Linked DNA regions of Sus scrofa. The protein of the gene in region 3 interacts with the protein of the main gene of each other region in a pairwise test. Links are inferred from orthologs where the notes say so. Each region holds a gene or a part of one and is shown on either strand. Other genes may lie near its edges. The genes, in order: FCHO1, TNFAIP1 and EXOSC5.

What was found.
Region 1: the proteins of EXOSC5 (region 3) and FCHO1 interact in binary tests that used the Homo sapiens proteins (3 or more experiments, as listed by UniProt). The two-hybrid records come from large-scale screens. The link is inferred for Sus scrofa from reciprocal best matches to the Homo sapiens genes EXOSC5 and FCHO1.
Region 2: the proteins of EXOSC5 (region 3) and TNFAIP1 interact in binary tests that used the Homo sapiens proteins (3 or more experiments, as listed by UniProt). The two-hybrid records come from large-scale screens. The link is inferred for Sus scrofa from reciprocal best matches to the Homo sapiens genes EXOSC5 and TNFAIP1.

The regions. Positions count from the first base shown.
Region 1 is NC_010444.4:59,969,862-59,973,508, reverse strand, and holds part of FCHO1 (F-BAR domain only protein 1), read left to right. Parts: intron 1-912; coding exon 913-1,065; intron 1,066-1,305; coding exon 1,306-1,410; intron 1,411-3,062; coding exon 3,063-3,161; intron 3,162-3,253; coding exon 3,254-3,350; intron 3,351-3,647. UniProt on the Homo sapiens protein: Functions in an early step of clathrin-mediated endocytosis. Has both a membrane binding/bending activity and the ability to recruit proteins essential to the formation of functional clathrin-coated pits.
Region 2 is NC_010454.4:44,615,527-44,619,697, forward strand, and holds the start of TNFAIP1 (BTB/POZ domain-containing adapter for CUL3-mediated RhoA degradation protein 2), read left to right. Parts: upstream 1-1,313; 5' UTR 1,314-1,502; intron 1,503-4,171. UniProt on the Homo sapiens protein: Substrate-specific adapter of a BCR (BTB-CUL3-RBX1) E3 ubiquitin-protein ligase complex involved in regulation of cytoskeleton structure.
Region 3 is NC_010448.4:49,372,778-49,375,859, reverse strand, and holds the end of EXOSC5 (exosome complex component RRP46), read left to right. Parts: intron 1-1,211; coding exon 1,212-1,301; intron 1,302-2,019; coding exon 2,020-2,112; 3' UTR 2,113-2,482; downstream 2,483-3,082. UniProt on the Homo sapiens protein: Non-catalytic component of the RNA exosome complex which has 3'->5' exoribonuclease activity and participates in a multitude of cellular RNA processing and degradation events.

The DNA.
Region 1 (3,647 bases), on a different chromosome or scaffold from region 3:
CAGCATCCATGAGGACACGTATTTGATCCCTGGCCTTGCTCAGTGGAATTGCCATGAGCTGTGGTGTAGGTCGCAGACATGGCTCAGATCCCGTGTTGCTGTGGCTGTGGTGTAGGCTGGCAGCTATAGCTCTGATTCGATCCCTAGCCTGGGAACCTCTATATGCTGCAGATGTAGCCTGAAAAAACAAAAAAACAAAAACCAAAAATAATAAAATTAGGGAACAAAGAAATTTTTCAATGGGCTGATGTGGAACAATCTTGGGAATGGATTCAGTGGGAAAAACTTGTGAACTAAGCAATATGGACTGTCACCATTTGTCCCAAAAAATGGGCTAGCACAAGCACATTTGCTGGTCTATGAGCCAATTATTTCTGGAGACATATGATGATAATGGGAAACTCCTAGGCAGAGGCCTGGGAGGCTGGGGATCAGGGAGGGTGTGGGAGGTTTTTACCTGAGCTCACCCCTGAAAACTTTCCGAAATGTGAATTATGTGTAAATATTTAAGCTTTTGAAGTTAAAGGCATTCCCATTGTGGCCCAGCGGGTTAAGAATCTCACTAGCGTCTCTGAAGATATGGGTTCGATCCCTGGCCTTGCTCAGTGGGTTAAGGATCCAGTGTTGCTGTGAGCTTCAGCATAAGTCTCATTGCTGTGGCTGTGGTGTAGGCTGCAGCTGCAGCTCCAATTTGACCCCTAGCCCAGGAACTTCCATATGCCACAGGTACAGCCCAAAAAAGGAAAAAAAAATTTTTTTAATTAATAGAATACTCGAAAAAAGTACTCTGTAGGACCTGGAATCCCAGAGTTTTGGAAGCTGGGAAAGTCACAGGTCTGCTCAGGTCCTGCGTCCCAGCAGGGGCTTCAAGTGGACCCCCCCACCACGCTCTTTTTTTCCCCATCTCCCCAGTGCAAAGAGGAAGCGCTGGGTACCCTGGATGCCGTGCAGGTCCTTGCAGGCGTCAGCCAGCTCCTGCCCAAGTCCCGCGAGAACTACCTGAATCGTTGCATGGACCAGGAGCGGCTGCGGAGGGAGAGCACCAGCCAGAAGGAGATGGACAAGGTGGGCACGTGGCTGCAGGTTCCCAGATGCCACTAGCCCACACAGAAATGAGGAATTTGCCCAGGGGTGGTGGGGCTGCCTGTTAAGAAAGTGAAAAACATATTATACAGCAAGGATCACTGAACCTGCATGAACCACACTCCTGGGTAGACCCAAGGAGTCCACCTGCTAGGGGGAGGGGATGGGGGGAGTGTCCTGAATGTCCCTCTCCCAGCCCCTTCCTCCCCCTGGGCCTCCTAGGCAGAGGCCAAGACCAAGAAGGCGGCAGAGAGCCTGCGGCGTTCAGTGGAGAAATACAACTCAGCCCGCGCTGACTTCGAACAGAAGATGCTGGACTCGGCTCTGGTAAGCATCGGGCATTCATAACTTGGAGACCCACACATTTCTGGGCCCAGGATGCTATGGGCCTCAGAAGTCCAGAACCTCCCAAACGTCAACTTCCAGGAGCCTTAGAATCACAGACTTAAAGCCATAGAATTCTAGAGCCAGTTAACTATTGTATTGTTGGTAGCGATATTATTTCAAAAACCAAATCACTTTTGTGCCTTAGTTTCCCCATCTGTAAATGGGGACAATAATAATAGTACCTGCTTCGGAGTTCTCGTCGTGGCGCAGCAGAAACGAATCTGACTAGCATCCATGAGGACTCAGGTTTGATCCCCGGCCTTTCTCAGTGGGTTAAGGATCTGGCTTTGCTGTGGCTGTGATGTAGGCCAGTGGCTACAGCTCCTATTGGACCCCTAGCCTAGGAACCTCCATATGCCTTGGGTGCGGCCCTAAAAAGACAAAAATAATAATAATAATAATAATAGAACCTGCTTCACAGAGTTGTTGTGAAGATTAAATGAGTCACAATATGTGAAGTTTTCAGACTAGTACTGAGTGCATAGAAACCACTCTGTGAAGTATTATTATTACTATTTCTTTCTATTTTTTTTTTCTTTTTGCTTTTTAGGGCCACACTGGCAGCATATGGAAGTTCCCAGGCTGGGGGTTGAATCAGAGCTACAGCTGCTGGCCTATGTGACAGGCATAGAAATGCAGGATCCTTAACTTACTGAGTGAGGCCAGGGATTGAACCTGCATCCTCATGGATATCAGCTAAGTTTGTAACCCGCTGAGAACAACAGGAACTCCTATTTTTATTATTATTAATGAGTTTTTTAATAAGATCAGGCAGAGTTTAGATGCTGAGACATGTCATGGTGGCCTGGTCTAGCCTTCATCTCTCATCAGCTGTGCAACTTTTAACAAGACACCACACCTCTCTGGGTCTCTGTCCACCCAAATGTTTAAAAAGCAGATTGGGATCTCAGGATTAAGAATCAGGTTTTTTTTTTGGGAGTTCCCGTCGTTTGTTTTTTGTTTTTTTTTTATTTTGTGGTGATAGAAAGTTGCAAGTGATACAAATTTTCATTCTAACTGACAAAGAGGAGTTCCCTGGTGGTCTAGTGGGTTGAAGATCCAGCATCATCATTTCTGTGGCTCAGGTTGCTGCTATGGCATGGGTTTGGTCCCTGGCCCAGGAACTTCCACATGCCACAGGTGCGGCCAAAAAAGAACTGGCAAGGAGATTTATAGGCTAAGGGAACTGAACAGTTTGAGGAAGGGCTTCAGGCATGGCTGGGTCCAGGTACTCAAATGGTGTGGCAGTAAGTTGTACCTCTCTGCTTCTTAAGTCTGTTTTTCTCCCTGAGGTCTTCACTCCTAGGCAGACATGCCCTCCTGGATATGTGTGTGTGTGTGTGTGTGTGTGTGTGTAGCAAAGTAGCCACCAGCAAGTTCCCCCCCCCCCACCCCATGCATCCACCAACTCCTTAGCTCAGGGTATGAAAGTGTTTTTCTCTATAGTTCCAGCAAAAGTCTCAGGGCTCTTCCCCAAACCAATCACTGAGGCCAGGGGGTTGGAATGTTCTGGTTGGTCAGGCTGGGTCACACAGCCACTCCTTGTGGTTCCACCTGCCACCTTCCCATTGGTCCCTCCCCTCCTGCCTCAGCGCTTCCAAGCCATGGAGGAGACCCACTTGCGGCAAATGAAGGCACTTCTGGGCTCTTATGCCCACTCAGTGGAGGACACCCATGTGCAGATTGGGCAGGTGAGTGGGGCTGGGTCCGGGGAACAAGGCTGGGGTGCTGGGCAAGAGGGCCCTGGCCCTGCCTGGTTACACACCCCATCCGCCTGGCCCAGGTGCATGAGGAGTTTAAGCAGAACATAGAAAACGTCAGTGTGGAGATGCTGCTGAGAAAGTTTGCAGAAAGCAAGGGCACAGGCCGGGAGAAGCCTGGTGAGTTGGGGCATCTGTGCGGGTTGGGCCATGGAGCCACAGCTATAGGGAAAGAACAGGACTCAAGAAGCGAGAGAATGAGTCTCCTTGGGCCTCATTTTTCCTCATCAGGAAAATGGGCTGATGACAGATCTAAGTCAGCAACCCACAGAGGAAGAGGATTTGATGCCAGATCTTATGTGTAAATCTCTTACAACCAGATATCAGAGGGGCCTTGAATGCCAAGGTCAGCCTCTCAGACTTTACCCTGAAGCCCAAGGGAGCCTTTGAGTGTTGTTGAGCAAAAGACCAATTTGA
Region 2 (4,171 bases), on a different chromosome or scaffold from region 3:
TAGCATCTAGCATAGTGCCTGCATAGAACTTGCACTCAGCAAATGTTTGTGGTATGAATGACTGCTAAAACAGAGCAGGCTAGGAGTTCCCATTGTGGCGCAGCAGAAACCAATCTGACTAGGAACCATGAGGTTGAGGGTTAGATCCCTGGCCCCTCTCATTGGGTTAAGGATCCCACGTGTTGAGGTGAGCTGTGGTGTAGGTGGCAGATCCGATCTGGTGTGGCTGTGGTGTAGGCCGGCAGCTGTAGCTTCGATTCAGCCCCTAGCCTGGGAATCTCCATATGCGGCGAGTGCGGCCCTAAAAAGAGGCAAGAAAAACAAAAACACCAGAGCAGGCTATTACAGTAACCAAGGCTTGGAGCTGAAGGAAAGTGTTCCGAATTGTTTGGTAAAGTCGAGTTGATAGGACTTAGTAAAGGATGAATGAAAGTAGGGGTTTGGAGAGGAGTGAAGGAGAGTCAGGTAAGATTCCCATGCATCTGGCTTGAGCCAGATGTATGGTTGGAAGGGATGGTTGAATGAGATGGATCGGGCCTGAAGAAGTGGAGAGAGAGGGTTCGCAGCCGACTACCGGATTCTCTCCCAACTCCCACCGCACGCTCATCTGAGGAACACTGGGTATAAAGGCCGAATTGAGTTCCCTGAAGATGAGAAGGACGTCGCGCTCTCGTCCCCCCACCATCCCCACCACCACCCTGGCTCTGGCTCTACGCTGGCCGCTACCTCCACCCGCGCGGTGTGGAGAAAGTTAGGAAAAGCTGGGTGATGGGGCTGGTTGTCTTCACTACGTAAACTCCTTGAACTTATCTGAGCCGCAGTTTCCTCCTAGGAGGGTTGCGAGCGTCAGAGCGAAAAGCTCGAGGCCCAAGCCCGGGTAAAACCGCTCCCAGAGTCGGGAGGAATTCCCACATTTCTTTCGCCCTGGGACTGCTTTTCCTCGGGGCGCGGGCCTGTCAGGCTCTTCCTGCCCCGGGCCCATCCCCGACCCGAAGTCACAGCCTACCTGTCCACCCCGCAGCGGCAGCGCCTGCGGCTCAGGCTGAGGTCCGCAGGCAACTCCCCTCTCGCGTCAGGGCAGCCGGTACCCAGCCAGCCAGCTTGCCTCAGCCGCTGCCACGGCTACAAGACCTGTTTACGCCTAACGTCACTTCCGGGCACAGGAAGCACTTACACCCATCCAGCTGGCAGAGCATGCTGGGAGACAGAGGCCTGGGAAGAGGGATGGCTGCCTACAAGACCCAGAGGTCTTTGCGCCGGAAAGTCGGCCTGAAGTAGGTGTACGCTCGCTGCGGAATACTCTTGGGGGCTCCTCCCTCCGCCCTGATTGGGTGCTATGTCTGCCCGGCCTCACAGTCTCAGGCCCTGGCCGCCTGGGGGCGGAGTCCGGGGGTGGTGAATGTGAGTTTACCGCCCGAGATTGCTGGCGGGCAAGCGGTGGTCTAGGGGCGGCGCGGTGTCGACTTGCAACCCAGCTGAGAGGAGAAGCGCCACCAGGGAGGGTGAGAGCCGAGTCTGCCCATGCCCTAGGGGAAGGGATGGACGGGTCCTGGGCTGAGCCAAGAGAACCCTACCCGGTCCTGGGGAAAAGGCGTGGGACGGCGAAGGGAGGTGGAGATCTCAAATCCTTTGGGTGGGTGTTAGAGCCGGTCTCGGTTTCTCGGTGGTGAGGCGGGGTACGGGTTGAGGAAGACTCTACAGTGGCCACAGAGAGGTTGAGTCTCGCTAAATTTCCCCAAACCCTTTGGCTGAAGCATGAGATTTACACGCTTGGATTTACACCCTTGGATTTCTGCTAGATTCCCCCCTCTGTAGGGGATCGGCTCCTCCTCTCGCCATGCTCCGTGTGATGGGTTTCTCGGACCTTCTTTCCTTAGGACCCCACTTCTATCACCGCCTTGTTTGTTTGGCCTTTATTCGGCTTGGGTTCCCATTAGCTTCACCGAGCGTGACACGGATACGCCCCTAGCATCCCCAAATACCCACACACAAAGTCCGGAAGGAAGAGCACTGAGGCTCTCAGTGGAAACTTCATTCTCACTGGAATTACTTTCTGGGGCGTCACCTGCCACAGGATTCCAGGAACCCATTGGCCTGGGCGGAATCTGAGCGGGTGGAATCTGGGCTGATGTCATCCATGGGCTCAAAGCAATTGCTTTGTAGGAAAAAGAAGAGATTAGCTTGGATTTGTCTTCCTCTGTTGGCAGCCGCTGTTAAGGGGTGGATTTATTCCTTTGGGGTGGGCGGAGGAAGGTAAGGTGACCTCATACCATTCAGGTTTACTTACTGATTGGGCAATCCGCTGGTGGGGGCTCATCTCATCCCTACTGAACCAGCCACCAGAGGAATTCGGCATTTCATACAGCACCTGCTCTGGCGCTTCCTTGGACTCTCTTCACAGGGACCTACCTAAATCTTTTCAGGGACAATTTCAGTCTAACACACTGACATATTAAATACTTCAGAATGTGCATAGCATTCTGCTAAGCACATTTCTGGGTTAGACTTAGAGGAGATGATGATGAAGTCATTTCACTTTTTTTTTTCTGACTCCATCACCACCACTGTAGTCCAGGTCTTCATCCTCTCTTGCCAACTCTTCCTCCGTCTGCACCCTACAATCCATTCTCCTCACAGCAGCAGAATGATCGCAGATTCTGTCACTCCCCAGCTCTAAACCCTACACTCAATGCCACTGCAATTAGTATAAAACCCAAACTCTCCAATATGATCCAGCCCATTTGCCCCTTCTTGCTGTGCACCAGCCATCTTGCCCTTATTTCTGTTACTAAAACTTGTGTCTGAGGAGCTTTGCACTTACTATTCTGTAAGAGCATCTCTCTGGAATGCTCTTTCAGACCTCAGCTGGAACGTCACCTACCCTAAGATGCTTTCCCTGATTCCCCATCTAAATTAGTGCCTCTCTGTAGTCACTCTCTTATCTCTGTTTTATTGTCTTTATTACATTTCTCACCTTCTGGAATTACCTGCTCATTTATTTATTTTCTTGTTTGTTGCCTGTTTCTTCCCACTAGAACGTAAACTCCCAGAGGCTGTGACTTGTTTGTTCACTTCTGTATCCCAGGCACCCAGCACAAAGCAGGAGCATAATAAATGCTAATTCTTATTAGTTTTATTCTTGGTAACATTATCATGCTTCTTTGAACTTCCTGAAGGCAAGGACAATATCTTTTCATCTCTCTCTCCCCACTACTTAACCTCGAAGGCACACGATATTGTTTTATTGCCAAATGAATTAAATGAGCTGATATATATTAAATGCTTAGAATAGTACCTGGAACATAGTAAACACGCAGAGAATGTTGGCTGTTTTTTTTTCTTTCAGTGAATGAATTTTAGTGTTACTTTAGAAAACCAGGACATATGATGTAGAATCCAGATCGCGAGGGGTGACCTGGGTTTGCCCTCCTCTGCTTTCCTCCCGCCTCCCTCCTATGAACTCCTCTTAACATTTCAGTTTTCAAATCACCTACTGTATTTCAAGTTATCGTCTGGCCTTTTCTAGCCCTTTCTCCCCATTCTTGTTGGGCAGGAAGAGAGAGGGCTGGGGCCCCCCCCTTAGGAAAAAGAACCAAAAATAGCTATCCTGTCGTTGTTCTAGCCTGAAAAATGGTTTCAATTTCAGGAACTGGGGACAGGGCTGATGCCAAAAAAAAAAGGGGGAAGATCAGGAAACCCCGACTGGAGCTCAGGTGACCTCTGCCAGGAACACTGGCTGGCTCCCTCCAGCCTGGCTCCATCCATGCTCTCCTAAAGCTGCTTTTACTTGCCTGCCCGAAGCCAGACTCTGGGTGATGTCAAAGGAAGCACTGGTGCGGGCTGTGCTGCTCTGGAATCGCTAGAGAGGAAGTGCATCCTGTCCCTCAGACTCCTGGGAAACTCCTAGGCTGGCTGGATTCCAGTAGGTTTGGCTTCAAGTCTTAGGTCTTGGGAACCTTGAGAAGAAAACAGCTGAATCTGACTGGTGGGTCCTGCCCAGCCTGTTTCTGGAGCTGTCTCTGACTAGCTCCAAGGGTGTGCTTGTCCTCCCTGCTGCCCAGAGCTGGTGAGGCAACCAGCCCTGGGTTCTGGAAGGCTGTGCTCCCAGACCTGGTTCCTGGTGCCATGAAGAACAGCAGGAATGTCCTCTGCCATTACCTAGGGCCTTAGC
Region 3 (3,082 bases):
ATGGGGTTCAGCAGAAATGAATCTGACTAGCATCCATGAGGATGCAGGTTCGATCCCTGGCCTCGCTCAGTGGGTTAAGGATCTAGCATTGGCGTGAGCTGTGGTGTAGGCCGCAGCTGCAGTCCAATTCACCCTGTCTTGGGAACCTCCATGTGCTGTGGGTGTGGCCCTAAAAAGACCAAAAAACAAACAAAAAAAACAAAATGGTTGGCTTGTACCACTTCAGTCCCAGCTGGCAAGCTCTGCTCCATTCATCTGGGCAAGTGCTGGAAACCCAACTCTAGCCCACTTCAACAAAAAGAGAAATGATTTTAAGAGGTGCAGAAGCAAAGAAGGAGAGAGCTTTTTCTTCACTGGCTCAAGTTCATAGTGTGCTGGGGCTCTGGTTATTCCTAGTTATCTGCCCAAGACTGAAACAGTCACATCCAGGTGGGAAAGCCAAAACCCCTTGGGGGATTTCAGACAGAGGGAATTTAATGCAGGGAACTGATTACAATCATATTGGAAGAACTGAAAGCAAAAAAAGAAGGGAGGACGCCCAGAGATTAGGCGCCCTGAAGCCAACTCCTGCTCTGTGCTATTGGAGACACTGGTACGGTTTCCATGGCAGGCAATATACCCCAAACTCCTGCTACTACAAGGACCAGGATGCTGCTCTGCTTCCTTCCAGTCTCCCACCAGATTCCTGGGGAAACCTAACTAGCAGGAGAATCTGGAAATACAGTTTGCTGGCTTCCAGCCCCAGGGGCACAGAGCAACAAGGGGAGGCTGGGAGACACAGGCGAATGACCGACACATGGCTGCCCTGTGGCCCAGGATACAGTGCTCAGAAGCCCCTGTCAGAACCATGTGGTAGAGTCGTGTGGGCAACCATTTCCCGGGGGAGCAGGGACGGGGTAGTATGTACACACAAAAAAAATCACTAGTGTTCATGAGAATGTGGGTTTGATCCCTGGCCTCGCCCAGTGGGTTCAGGATCCGGTGTTGCCATAAGCTGCAGTAAGTCATGGAGGCAGCTTGGGTCCCACATGACTGTGGTGTAGGCCCAGCAGCTGCAGCTCCAATTCAGACCCTAGACTGGGAACTTCCATATGCCGTAGGTGTGGCCCTGAAAAGAAAAATTGTAAAAGTAAGCCCCCCTCTTTGAGACAACTGAGATTGTGGCTGAGGGGAGAGTCCCAGGTCCCCCACCTTGTACCCCTTGTCCCTAGGAGGCCCGGGCGGTCCTGACCTTTGCTCTTGACAGTGTGGAACGGAAGCTGCTGATGTCCACCACCAAGGGACTCTACTCAGATGCTGAGGTACCAGCCTGCAACGGGGTGAAAGCCAGGTCCTTCCTGTCCACCTGATAAGAGGCCCTATTCCAACCCTGAGAGGCTTAAGGAGAGCCCCTTCCATGCCTGCCTTCTGTAAATAGGAGGCGTTTTCAAACTTTTAGCCTTAGAGACCTTTGGGAATTTTTAAAGGGAGCCCAGTTTATGAGAAGAGAGGAGGGGCTCAGGTTGAAATCAGGAGCTGGGAGCACCTGAAGGCCTTCCAGCTTCCAGCTCAGAGCTGCACGCTCTGGAATTCAGGGTGTCTGAAAAACAGAGTGGCCACTGTTGGGCCAGGTGGTCTCCAGGAGCATTGCCCACCTGGCCTTCCTGTGAGTCCAGGCACACATGGCAGTAAAGATGTGGGGGCTTGGATTCTGTAGCTCTGAAATTCCAATCTCTGATTCCAGAGCCCGGCAGGTTGGAATCGCTTCCAGGGGTCAGGATGGCTGATCCTGTTAATCTGAGCACCATTGCCCTGGAACTGATGGAATCTGACCCCTGAAGCCTTCCCCGTTCCCCCGCCCCCAAGGAGCCCGGGACGTGGGGAAGAAGGAAATACACTTGTAATTTCCCTCACCCCCCTGCCTCGCTGGGGTGAGGGGGACACCCAGTGAAGGGGGGTAGTAGGTTTGTGGGTTCTGGGGGTCAGGTGGGGCCGGGGGAACCTCCTGGCCCCCCAGCACCCACCCAGCTCTCCTTCCAGCTCCAGCAGTGCCTGGCTGCAGCCCAGACTGCCTCCCAACACGTCTTCCGCTTCTACCGGGAATCGCTGCAGAGGCGTTACTCCAAGAGCTGAGGCAGCCAAGAGCTGAGGCAGGCCAGGGCAGGTGCCCCTCCCGCCACCGCCCACTCCCTCCAGTACCAACTAAACCAGCAGCCCGGCCCTGCCTGTCTGTCCTTGTGCGTGGGGGTGAGCTTGTGGCTCTGTCACTGCAGGAGCCCCTAACCTGCCAGGAATGTGTGGCTAATAGCCCCAGGGTCTGCCCCACCCCAAGAAAACGGATTGTGCATTTATTGAATGAACCTACTCATCTCAACAGCCCTGCAAGGCCTGTTACAGTGTGTGGGCCCTACCAGGTGCTGAGGCCATGGCAATGTATGGGACCCAGGTCCTGGGTTTTGAGAAGCAGTGCTGTGATAGACAAATAAAATTTGTGTTTGTTGGAGAGTGGTAAATGCTATTTTGAAAAAAGAAAAGCAGGGAAGAGGGTTTCAGCGAGTTCATTTGGGGAAGGCAGATGGAATACAGTCTGGGGCACCTTCATGGGAGGAGTCTGAGGGAAGCCCAGGAGGAAGCCGGGATGCGCTCAGTGGATACCTGGGGAGATGACCCCCTGGCAGCGGGTTTTGAGGGCCTCGGAGGGGAGTCTGGCCTCTGCGTGCTGCTTTTACTCACTCAAAAAGGGTGTGGTTGGGCTGTTATAGTCCCTTTGTAAGAAAACAAGCTCAGAAGCCAGTTAACTGCCAGAGGTCACCAGCTGGTTAGTGGTGGAGCATGGGTCCCACTCAGAACCTATACCCAGAGCCTCCACTGTTCGGGCAAACCCGGGAGATGCGGGTCTGGTACACTCTGCACTTTGCTTCCCTGCCTGTGAACGGGGGTGGCTGAGGTCTGTTGGTTCTCAGTCACGGGTGGCAGCATCTCACAAGGGCTTTTGAAAATGGGCGTATTCTGTGCCACAGCAGCAACCCAAGCCATTGCAGTGACAACCCCCGAACCTTGACCTTCTGTGCCAGTCATACTTGTGGCATATGGAAGTCCCCAG